2 linked regions of the Arabidopsis thaliana genome follow. The protein of the gene in region 1 purifies or fractionates together with the protein of each later gene. This does not show direct contact. Each region holds a gene or a part of one and is shown on either strand. Other genes may lie near its edges.

Region 1 (5,973 bases):
ATGTAAACTATAATATAAACTAAGAATTCAAATATGACGCTTTAAAAAAGTAAGAAAAAATTATGCAAAAAAATGAATATGTTGCACGTTGTAAAAGAAAAGGCAATTTTACCTTAATTCAAGACGAATGGAAATTTTGTAAATAAAAATTCTTCTACATTTTTGGTCAGATATTTTTTTATTTTGTTTCACGTCGCTATTAATGATTCTTTTATGGATAACGTTGCATTATCCAAACATGATGAACTACAGAAGTTGGGTAAACCACGTGTCTAGCAACACATACCAAGTGTCAATGCATTTCAATATCTTCACTTCACCCATTAATATACTGATCAATTTATTTCCAGGATCCAACGACATTATTCATTTTAATTTCTTTCTTGCTTTCTATATAAATCTCGCAATTAACTAACTTAATACATTCAAAATTTGAAGGATAAGACTAAATTAAGGATTATCGGCCCTCCCAAGTACAACGCACCGGGATCACCAAATTATGGGATCTCTAACCATGTGGAGTCCAATAATTAGCAGCTTTTCAATGTGATTTTTCAAATATTCTTTTCTTATAAAATGTAAAACAAAGGTTAGACAAATGAAGGAGACGCAACCTTCAACCAATTGATGGTAGTGAGGATATATAGTATTTGTTCAGTCAACAAGGTAATATACAAAAGTTGATGTATTCTTTCTTTGACGTCGTTTTGGTGAGACTTCTTCTTCTTTTGACGTCGTTTTAATAAGAGTCTTATTCCAATCATATTTAATGAGTTTGATGAGATTATTAAATAATTTGCAACCTATAATTAAAAATTAAAAAAAAAAAACTTTTTTCAATCAGCTTTACGTATACGAGTGATCTTCAAAACATCTGAGTTTCTTCAACTAAAGCCTCACATATATAGGCTATAGCATTTGCTTTCTGTTATCCACTCGCGAGAGAAGCCTTTTTCTTTTAACAAGAATAGTTTACTACTTATAATTTTCTTAATCTTTGTAAGCATATACTCGCCATAATAAGATTCCGCAAATAGGATATTTTGATCCCTGTTAAAGTATGACAAAAAAAATGATTATAATGTGGTAGAAGTGTATAACCCGATAAATGGGTATAGTTATTGGTTACATTCAAACTAAAGCTATGTACAATCACGTTACTAACTAAGGAGAAACAAAAATAATATAATTATAAGACACAAGAGAAATTAATTAAAACCCCACAAGAAATTGATAAATTTTAAAAACTAAAAAAAATATTATAAAAGTATTGTACAATAAATCTTTGACGAAAAAGAATATCAGTATAAACTCGAAAACTTCCAAAATCTTGGAAATTTTGATGCAATGAGGACTAAAACTTTTTGGCGTATTCTTTTCTCGGATTCCACTTGCGTCGGTGGCTGTCACTGATCTTCGAATGATGTTTGATGTATATTAAAATCCTTTACCGAAAAAAAAACTACCGACGTAGTTGCATATATTTTTGTGCACACAGTTAAATAATAAAATATTTCGTAGACAAACGTCATGACTATGTAACATATCAATCAGACAATCAATTTAAATTATTTCATTTAACTATTGTGAAGTAGGATAGTAATATATTTGAATGAAAAACCAAAAAAAATTTGGGGTAAAAACAAATTAGATGCCACCAGGTTGAATTTTTAATGTATAACAAAAGAAAAATTCTTTGGTATGTCAGATATAACATGACATTTCATTGCATGCTATAAGTGAAGAAATTCACCAACTATGTCCAATTATGAGAATGATCTAAACAATAAATGATGAAGAAATGTTGCGATAAAAGGAAGAGATTGTTGAGACTAATAACGAGAAAGAAGACACTATTGTTCTTGTGATATAATTATAAAGGGGGAGAGATTTCTGCATTCATTCAATTTTTCAACCATTTAGAAAAGAACAAAAAAGATTCTTTTAGTTTTTAGGCAAAGAAGAAAGATTCCTTTTCTTTTGTATAGTTAAAAAAAATATAGATGGAGATAAAAGTAAACCAAAAAGGTAGATAAAGTGTAAGACTTTTGATCTGTGAACCACATTTGTTAGGGTTGTTAATTTCATTTCAAACTTCCAAGGAAAAAAAAACTATTTTGAGGATAAATGATTTTTATGATCAACCAAATTCACTGAGTATGAATGCAAAAGACAGAAAATTTGTAAATGAATAAAGCTAAGAAATCATATACATCAATTATACTCAAAACAGGGGGAAATAGAAATATACATAAACATGAAACAAACACTTCATATTCACTAACCTTGATTAGTGTCCTAACGTTAATACAACTGAGAAACAAATAGAGTAAATTTAGTTAAGTTCAGAATCTAAGACTGAAGAGTACTAAACCAGATTCGAGGATTACGACTAGATGAAGAAAACTAACCCTAAAAGAAGGTTATAAAGAGAGAGAGAGGGATCAGAGTCGTGAAAACAGAGTTAATAACTAGCTCTTTGAATGAAAACGGTTTCTAGGTCCGGCGGAGAGAAGTAATCTCTAGTGACGGTGACGTAACTGCACTTCAACGACGGTTTACGCTTCTTTGGCGCCGCTGGACACGGCGGGACCCTTGGAATTCTGACGGAAACCGCCGTAGGGGTCGTAGGACACTGATCTTGCTCCTCTGTTTCGGTAACTGTGACGCCGGGAGATAGGTTAATCTGCTTGAGAGGGGAACGTGAGGGAATTCCGGCGATGACCCATTTTTTACCGTCGGTGGATTCTCGTATCTCGCCGTCGAGTTGGTGGTGAGGTTTGCCGGAATATCCCATGACTTCTCTCGAATGTGAATGAAGAGGAAACAGAGAAAGTGAAAAAAAAACAGAGGAGTTTTGTTGTTATGGTTGATGATGAAGATGAAAGAATCAAAGGTTTGCTTTAGGTTTTTGGGATTGATGTGTGGGGAACGAATGAGACGTTTTGTTCTCTCTCTCTTGGATACTTTTTTTTTGTGGTTAACTTTGGTGGCGAGCGAATGTGAAGTGAAGGGGACATTTTTTCTTAGAGGACGGTTTTATAGTCAACAGAGTATTAATTACGTTAGATCGGTGTCGATTCAGTTCGGTAATTTCTACTGATTTTGCTGAATAAAATTATTGTAAGTTTTCTTTTTATAAAAAAAAAAATCAAATTTAATTATAGAAAGACAGTGAGATAGAGTTGTACGTTTTTTTTAAATATTCATATTTATTCGTTACTGATGCCTGAGGCTGAGGGCAGAGTGGAGGGAATAAAGGAGCATGAGAGAAGTAGCAACAATTCCTACATTTCAAAATTTAAATTTCTAGGTCATTTTTATTTTATTTTAGATCATGCAGCCTGCAGGTAAATTTAATCGCATTTGAGATTTTTATCTTATAGTGAAACCAAATCTTTTGAATCTTTTTAACAAAAAAAAAAAGAAAAAAAAAATCTTTGAATATTATAAACTATGAAAATGATATCAAAGTCATGAATAGTTTATGGATGCATGTCTTCGAAACAAAATTACAAAATACATGAAGTCGATTCTTATAGGATTAATGTTGATTTGTTTGACCCGTTGATATTCATTAGAAATTTAACGATTTTATTCTAATTAATATTATATATATGACATATTAAGAGGTATAGCACATATGTATATTTTTATATAAAAAAAAGTAATTTTGTTTTTAAGATGATATATAGACATATGTTATTTTTTTAACGTATAATACACCTTGGTACAATTTTAGAACTAAAAAATTTAAAATTTTAAGTTATATATATATATATATTGTTACTTTGGTTTTGTTTTCAAAATTGTATAATTATATTTCGATTGTTAATTATATGATTTCATCCGTAGTATATATAATTCCATATTAATATCAACTCAAACGCGTCCTACCGTATAACCCCGTCATGTGAAATTAAACATCATTTTGTTATTTTTCTAAAATTTAAATATTTATGGTATTGAAATTAAAATATATATATATATATATATATATTGATCCAAACTTTATAATTGTATTTTAATTGTTATATATAGGATTTCACCCGTAATATATATTGTCTCATATTAATATATATATATATATTTTAATAAAGTATAACTTTTTAAAAGTTTTAAATTTTTTGATATTTAACTTTTAAGAAACTTTAAATATTTATAATATTTTGAAATTTTTAAAGATTCAGTTCTTTAAAATAGAGATTCAGAGTAAACCGGATAACATTTTTATTTTTGGATGCCTGATAAATCAAACTTCCAGTTCATTGTTATTCAAAATTATTTTGGTTCTTTTTATAATAAGACTCTAAAGCATTGCCCAATTTCTTAAGTAATGTGGGATCTTTCACACTTACTTTTTTCTTTATACATAGAGTAATATATGTCTGTTTACAAAAATTTGAATTACATCATATGCAGAAAAAATCTAATATTTTATAAACTATATATATTTTATATAAAATCAAATAAATTAGATATAAGAACAACAAAAAGTGAAAGAAAAAGCATATATTTATATTTAATGTAGATAGAGAAATTTTAGAAAATTCGTAATTAATTGATTGTAGTTCAATAATGATAAGATTTAATTAAGGATTTAGACACATATTTGTTTTAGATAGATTTTGTAGAGGCTAAATATGTAATATAGAAAAGAGTTAATTTAAGTATTTAATGCAAACTAACAAATTATAAATTTTTAGTAATAGAATATTTGGTTGAAATATAACTGGTAAGGACCTAAATGTTATTAGTAAATAGTTAAGGGATTTTTGACCAAAAAGTCTATCAAAAATGTATATGTAGATATAAAAATCATAGAAAACTCTTTAATGTATAATAACACTATGACAATGCCGCCCATTAACAAACTCACGGAAAAAAAAAAAACTACTTTTCTCTATTTTCTCTCAGTATTGCTTGCTTCAAGCATATTTGTACTTAGTGTAAATACACGCCCATTAACAAACGTGAACCATAATCTTATCCGGTGAAATACATACGCCACCAAATATAATAATATATCATGTGGTCAAATCCTGCAAAAAAACTCATCAAAGATATTTTGTGTATTGTAAAATGATTCTATAGTAGTACTAATTAATAGGTAATATATACTGTTAACTAATGTGGACAATTGTAAAACGACGACATAGTCATTGAAAACGAAATGGAGTATATCTAATCTGGCTGAGAGAAGAGTTGATATGAAAAGAGAGAGCCCGTGAACGGATATACAAAATGAGTTTTAAATGAGAATAGGGAACCCGAGGAAACGCGTGACCTAAGCTACGTAAATTATAAAAATAACTTATTTTTATATTCATAGGGTGTGTTTTTATTTACACAAATATATATAGTATTTGTATCAACTTCTATGTATTAAATATAAAGAGATAAAAATACCCTTTAGATGCAAGTAATAAATGGAGTAACGAGATGGAAAGAGTCGTTGAGATTCACACTTCAGTTGGCGGTCCTATTTTTGACTTTCTAATTATCACCGGTCAACATATTTTGTAGAGATTCCATCGCCGATGCTCAAGTTTTTTGCACCCTGTGAAAACATATATAGAGGTTTTTGGTCGGTGTTTGCCGGCAACGACAAATATGTGATTTCTTAGTTTCTTCAACAATAAACTCGTGTTTGCCTCTTATCTAGCTAGAATGACCTTTGTTTAGTAGTTTTCTGAATTGCAGTTTCCCTAAACCATTATCTTAGTGCACATACATAAATTATGGTGCAATATCATTTTGGTAACGTTACTATTTGTTAGATATTTATTTAACAGAAAATGTCATAATCCTTAAACACAAATTCTTATTTAAATATGTAAACGTTTTCTAAAACTTATGGCTTCTTCTGATTTATTGGATCTAATATATTGGAGCAGCCTTTTGTTTACCATTGGAATACTCAAGCTAAGAATAATATTGTTAGCTTGAAATTTTCTACATTCTAATGTATTC
Region 2 (7,201 bases), on another chromosome or scaffold:
TGTACTCTATTCCTTCAACGAACCATTTTGTATTACATTTTGTCAATTATATAATTTTATGAGTATGTGAAAGTTAATATGTTATATTCAATTATTCATAGAGTTTTATATTCTCTTGCTAAAACCATGATGCTTCCCACCTAACACTTGTTAGTCTTTTATACACCAAAACGTAAATCGAAAAAAGAAAAAAATTTACTTATCCAAAATCCAAGCTGTAACCAAAGTTATAAATCGGACACACGTAAATAGAAATATTTGGTCAAAGTTTGACTGTCTTGGAATCGTAAAAAACTTTCACACAGTCAAAGGTTCCACTTAGATGGGCACCAAGCCCCAAAGAAATTCAACACATGGCACAGACTATATCGTCACTGTAATTATTTATTTTAAACCTTTTTTACTCTTATAGGAAACTTATCTAGTAGTGACATGATATCATAATTTATATTTATATCATATAGTTTTTTGGATTGTTACTAGTTAGGCAGAGGTGGAGCGTCTTCTTCTTCTTCGTTTCTGAGGCAATCCAGCCTTTCGCACGTGACCGACGCTCCTCCACTGTAGTTATTGTCACGTGCGCCATCATTCCACCATCAATTTTTTTTTATATATTATATCATATTTCTTTCATGTATTATTCAACATCATACACAATTGATATTTGATAGTGTTATGTCTTTTTTGTCCATAGAGACCTTCTTGTGGAAACAGAGGGACCGAGTTTCTTTGTTTTTGCTAGAGGATGAATAGACTAATACACACCTCGAAAGGAATCATAAGTAGATTGGAAAATATTGTGTGTAACGTGTGTTAGGTATCCTAGATTTGTTAGTTCATTAAAAATGTGATCAAATTATATTTGGTTACTAACTCTTTTTTTTTTTTATATGTCTGACTGTTAACCCTTCTTAACTCTTAAGAGTTCACTATGTTCAAATAGGAGCATTTATTTTCGTCTCATTTGCTATATGTAATGTCATATTTAGTTACCAATATTACATTTTATTTTCCACATAATAGTAATTTTATTAAATGCGTGAAATAGACCACAAAAGACTTTGATTCCTTATCAACAAGGGAAGACAATCATAGAAAGAAAAGCACGAGAAAACAAAAATAATTTTGTTTCACCAAAAAAAACAAATTAGACATAGATATTCACCAAGCGAGTTAGCCTAACGACCCAAAACTTGTTTTGAAGTGATAAAAAAATATCCTGCAAATTCATCATCATCGTTACTAATTTCGGTCAATCTTGGCAATTGCAGATCACATCATCTAAATTCTAAAATGATGAAATGCATTTTTCAAGTTATTGTGAAATTGGTCCCTCATCTTGACTACATACAAACATCTCAGAAAAAAATTTGTAACATAATGTAATCATTGTATATATATACATAGAAATGCACAATAATACAAGTCAGAAGTTAAAAAAAGGAAATACAAAAATAATCTGTAAAATACGTAATGTGAGAATATTACTTGTATCTAGGGGGGAGATCGAACAAATGCTGCTGATACTTCACTAACATACACATAAAAGTTGCAGATTTTGGATCTTGCGTCTTCTTGGTTTTATACCCTTTTCTTACATCTAGTCTTATAAATATTAATACTATAATAGAAAAATTAATTATCCTATATATTGAATGACTCGGCTCCAAAGCCATGCGCCTATATATACAAGTCTTTTTATTTTTTAAAAAATTTGTCAAAAAAGGGACCAGAAACATATAAAGATGGGAGCCTCATTTGCTGATGGATAAATAAATATTTATTTGATTTTAAGTTTGTTCAAGACTAATTATAGTACAAATTAGTAAATTGTTGTTCTTTTTTTTTCTTAACATATTACATATTGTATAGTATAATTCCACTTTCATCCAATTGGATAATCAGTTATAATTCGGATGGTTTACGATACATCGGATTCTGCTTTCAATTTTTCTTGTATACATCAAAATTTAACACATGATAAGGTTTTGGAACCCGCTAACGAGACCTACCTATTTTTACAATAAATATACTCATTCAGTATTTGTCTATATTTCTACCTACAATCTATGTGAATTTGCTTACGTATATCTACTCTTCTTATCTACGTACTGTATAAATTTTCATACACAATCTTCGTGTCTCGTAACATCTACTACATGAGTCATATACAACTTTCTCACCTAACATGGAAGTCATTACTCGTAGGCCTAATTACTCGTTACCGTGAATATAACTATAAAAAGTGAGGAAACAAAAAGATTTACGGAGAAGAAAAATTGAATAATAATTGCAATAGAACTATAGGAAAATTTGTATATGACTTAGCAAAAATAATGATATGGAACTAAATTAAAAAGTTGAGAGGATTTTTTTTAGTGGGAATGGTATGGTGTTTCCCCCACCAATTCCTAAAAAAAACTTATTGCAAAATTGCTCTTTTGATCTTTATTTTCTTCCATTGAAAATGAATTTCTAGGTCTGAATTTAATTGAAGTCAATAAGTGGGAAATAACTAAACTAGCTATTCCTCTGTTTTCTGTTCACAATTCTATTTTGAATAAAGTACATTTTAATTCAAACCTCTTAAAATAGAAGTTACTACAAAAGCAACAAAGGGGGTGGTACGTGGAATACACTAATGAGAAATGTTAATAAGAACGTTGTATTTGGAATGGGATTTAACTTTCTGCACATAAATTTCAATGGGATCATTATTCTTTCCTAACTAAATGATTGATACAAATTCAAAGGATCCTATAAATCTTATCTCAGAGACCGAAAGAAAATTCCATTTGTACAAAACAACAAATAAATAGAAGAAAAAGTTTGATGATAACATTCTTAACAGAATCCGTGAACTTTGTTCATGTAAGAAATCTAGAGTGTAATCAAGGAAGTTCAACAGGTAAAAACAATGACATTTATATATGGACGTTCTTAAAACGTGTAAATCTCATATATTTAAGACAGCCACAATAGTTCTAAACGCTCTCCATTCCTGCATTAAGTATTTATTTCTATTAATAACATTTAATTTATCAATAAAGTTCACATTATCATAGACAACTCCGAAATTAAAAAAGTTTTTTTAAAATAAATTTGCTTAAACTTAAATAATCAACAAAATACAAAACAGTTTAATGGAAATAGCAGAAATCTTTTTCAAGAAAATACAATACTATTAGATAAAAACAATTTTGTTAAATTAAAAAAAACCCATAATTGACTAGCATCAAAAAGTCTTCAAACACAAGTAATCCTGCTGGATATTAAAAAAATAAAAGAGTAATCATTCCTTTAAAAAATGTGATTATTTGTCGACCCAAAAAAAAAGAGTGATGATATTATACATATACTCAAATATTAGTGAACAAATAAAACCTAAAATTAATCAAATAATAAAGATTTTTAATTTAAATGTAACCGCTAAATAACGCCCCCTCTCTCTCCCCCACTTATTTTTGGCGGCACCAGACGCGGGAGACTCTCTCTCTCTCTCCACTCTCTCTCTCTTTTTTCTTTGTTTTTTCGTCACTTGCTCCTAAAATCCCAAATCGAGTAATGGAAGAAAAATCAAATACGATGATTTAGCTTCCCTTCTTATTCTTCCCCTATATTCACTGCGATAACTTTGCCTCTCATCTCATAAATTAAAAAAAAAACACTCTTCTCACAAATTCTTTATAATTCCCCTTTTGATGTGTACGGACACACCACCGAAGCAGAAGCAGAAGAAGAAGAACACTTCTATCTCCGCCGCCGCCGTCGTCTTCATCATCATCGCCGCCGTTAAATGGGTGAGCCTAAAGACAGTCTCGCTCTCTTCCTCTGCCACGAATCGGAGTCTTCTCTAAACGAAGACGACGACGAGACGATTGAGAGATCTGATAAGCAAGAACCTCACTTTACTACTACGATCGATGATGAAGATTATGTGGCAGACCTTGTTCTTAAAGAGAATCTCCGATTCGAAACCCTACCCTCTAAAACGACGTCGTCTTCCGATAGATTGATTGCCATCGATTGGATTCTCACTGTCCGTAATCTCAAAAAGATTTTCCCTTTTTTGATCTTTGTCTTAATCTCTGATTGATTGGTTCTTTGTCTTAATCTCAGACAAGAACAAGATTTGGGTTCCAACATCAAACAGCTTACATTGCAATCTCATACTTCGATCTGTTTCTCCACAAAAGATTCATCGGTGTAAGTTTCAATCTCCAGTTTCATTTATCTATAAAAATCTCACCTTTATCTTCAGATTAAAGCTTAAAGATGGTTTCTTTGTAGTTGCAGAAAGATGAAACATGGGCGATGCGATTGTTATCAGTAGCTTGTTTATCATTAGCTGCTAAAATGGAGGAACGTATTGTTCCTGGTTTATCACAATACCCTCAAGATCATGACTTCGTTTTCAAACCCGATGTCATTCGTAAAACTGAACTGTTGATTCTATCCACATTGGACTGGAAGATGAACTTGATCACTCCTTTTCATTACTTCAACTACTTCCTTGCTAAAATCTCTCAGGACAACCATTCTGTTTCTAAAGACTTGGTGTTGTTAAGATCCTCTGATTCTCTTCTTGCTTTAACTAAAGGTAACTCTATTAAGAAACACATTTTTTTCTCAAGATCAAAGCATTTATTGATATCACATTTTTGTTTCCATGTAGAGATAAGTTTTACGGAGTATCGACAGTTTGTTGTTGCTGCTGTTACTACATTGCTAGCTTCTTCTTCTACCTCATCGGATATTAGATTGACTAGAGAAGAGATAGCTAACAAGTTTGGTTCGATCTCTTGGTGGACTTCTAATGAGAATGTATAAATCTTGGTGTCTTTTTATTCGATTTTGATTGTTTGATGTTGATGATCATAATCTTAGGAGTGTTGGGTTTTGTAGGAAAATGTATATTTGTGTTATCAGAGAACGCTAGAGATTGAGGAGAGGAAACATATGACACCTCCACCGGAAATAGCGGTTTCTCGCGAACCGCCGGCTTCAGGAAGTGGCGCTAAACGCCGATTGTCTTTTGATGATTCTGATCAAAGTTCTCCACCAGCCAAGAGAATGCGTAGGCTATGAAGAGAGAGTTTCTTTCTTCTTCAAGTTTTGGCTTATATTGATTTGGTTTCTTTTTTGGCAACATATTGATTTGGTTTTATATTCAATCATTTGATTATAGAGAAAAAATGGTCTGAATACATCGGTTATTTCAATTTTTATGAAGTAACTCATATAGGTTCTTCGTATGAAGGTCTTTGGATTTCTTGGGGATGAAATGTGACTATTAAAACATTAGGGGCTTCTCTGAGAGAATCTAGGAAATATGAGGAGTGAATGTAAATAAATAAGAAAAACAGAAAGGGTGAATAGTTTTAGGCCAATAGTTGCAGTGCCAGTGATTTGGTTTCACATCCTCTTTTATTTTTTTATTGTCTTATTTTTTTATTTGTTATGTTGCAATTTCTTTTTCATTTGATATTACAAAATTTTGTCATAGATTTTTTTTTTTTTTTGGCATCAAAGTCCATTTTTTTAACCTCTTTAACTTTCAAAAGGGCTCATTCATAGCAAATAATAAATGAAAAAACTCTTTTTAAGGTAAGGTAAAATTATTTTATATTTGATAAATATATTTATTTTCTTATCTTTATTGACACTTTTGGTCATCTCCAAAGTGAATCCATCTGTATGCTACTCAACATGTTATGTCCATTCCACAAAGTCCTTCGTGATCTTTTCATGTTCTCAAATCTCAATATATAATATCTTGGAAAAAAATTAATCAAATAAAAAGAAAATTTTCTTGTTTAGGAAAAATCATCGTTACTTATCTTTGATAGATAACTACTTTTACGAATTGACAATCAGTCGATCACGATAAACTAAAACGGATATATATTTTGCTCCAATAAGTTTTCTTTAGCATTATAGAAACCAACAACTTGTAGTGGAACTGTGGAAGTACTTTGGATCAATGATTGGATCTAAAGATGAAACCCCAATTTATACAGAAATTTGCATGTGATGTTTTTAAGTTAACGTACTATTCTACGCGCAAGTCAAAAGTGCATCGTACTCGTACATATAGAGGTAGATTGTTTTTTTTGTGTGTGTTTATAGGATTATTGTTAATATTTTCAATGAAATGCAGTTGAGAAAAAAAAAAAAAAACATATGTGTAATAGACTGAAGAAACAACAACCCAACGACTTGTTTAAGTGAGAAACAACTGTCTCATACAATACAACTTGGGATCCAAAGTTTTGGTTCCATTAATTAAAGCTTTAATTCCAAAATGATTAGCAACGAATTAAAAGACTTATTACAAACAAAATGCATTCTTACAAATTAAGAAGCATAAAGTACTGACAGAATATAATTAAAGATAATGTGTGTGTGGTTTAAGGCCAATGTTTTGTTGCTCTAAGAGATTATTCAACAAATCAAGAAGCATAAAGGGTCAAGCTTTACTTCACCAAGAACTAGTTAATGCTTCTGAATTTTCTGTTGCCTATCTTTCAATGAATATTAGTATGTCCCAATTGTTATTTTTTTTTTTTGCTTATTATCATTGAGTTAAACCATTTTGTTTCTGTTGGGTTTTGTGTAGACATATGTGAGATTCACGGGTAACACAATTTAGTTACAACTCTCACTTTGGTTAGGAGATGGATAAACTAATGACTAGTGAGATTGAAATATCACAAAAATAACTAATCTTTATGTAAATTCTATTTTCATTCTAGATATTAATTAGTCCTTTATTTATGAACATTTATTCACACGATCACAAACTTAAACAATTAGTTATAGAATATTTTACCGGTCTAATGTTCACATAGAAATTATAATTTACCTATACGCCTACAAGGGACAAATGACTATAGTATACTCATTTTTTCAATCTAAAAAATGGTTTTACTTCATAGAGATCCTAAATTGATAACATTTAAAAATGTTTTTTTCTTTTCTTAAAGAAGAGTCTTTCTTATTTATTACAGTTTTGAGATTGACAGGCTTTGGAATTGTTATATGGAATCAGTTTTGACTGATGAGATATGATGTCAGGAGAAGAGGCTCCCACTAAAAGCCATGACTTCATTGAGAGATTTTCTAAGTATATCAAATTACAGTCTGGCTAGATAACAATTTTGTACCCAAATAATCATTTTTCTTATTTTAACCTTTTGCT

The links.
Region 2: the proteins of AT1G10690 (region 1) and CYCD5;1 purify together in Arabidopsis thaliana (affinity purification with mass spectrometry, with the first as the bait; one large-scale study listed by BioGRID). This does not show direct contact.

What each region holds. Positions count from the first base shown.
Region 1 is NC_003070.9:3,547,772-3,553,744, forward strand, and holds AT1G10690 (cyclin-dependent kinase inhibitor), read right to left. Parts: upstream 3,078-5,973; 5' UTR 2,798-3,077; coding exon 2,465-2,797; 3' UTR 2,149-2,464; downstream 1-2,148. UniProt on the Arabidopsis thaliana protein: Probable cyclin-dependent protein kinase (CDK) inhibitor that functions as a repressor of mitosis in the endoreduplication cell cycle.
Region 2 is NC_003075.7:17,675,701-17,682,901, forward strand, and holds CYCD5;1 (cyclin d5;1), read left to right. Parts: upstream 1-3,467; 5' UTR 3,468-3,796; coding exon 3,797-4,039; intron 4,040-4,119; coding exon 4,120-4,206; intron 4,207-4,290; coding exon 4,291-4,600; intron 4,601-4,675; coding exon 4,676-4,824; coding exon of another isoform or gene 4,825-4,830; exon of another isoform or gene 4,831-4,905; coding exon 4,906-5,088; 3' UTR 5,089-5,564; downstream 5,565-7,201.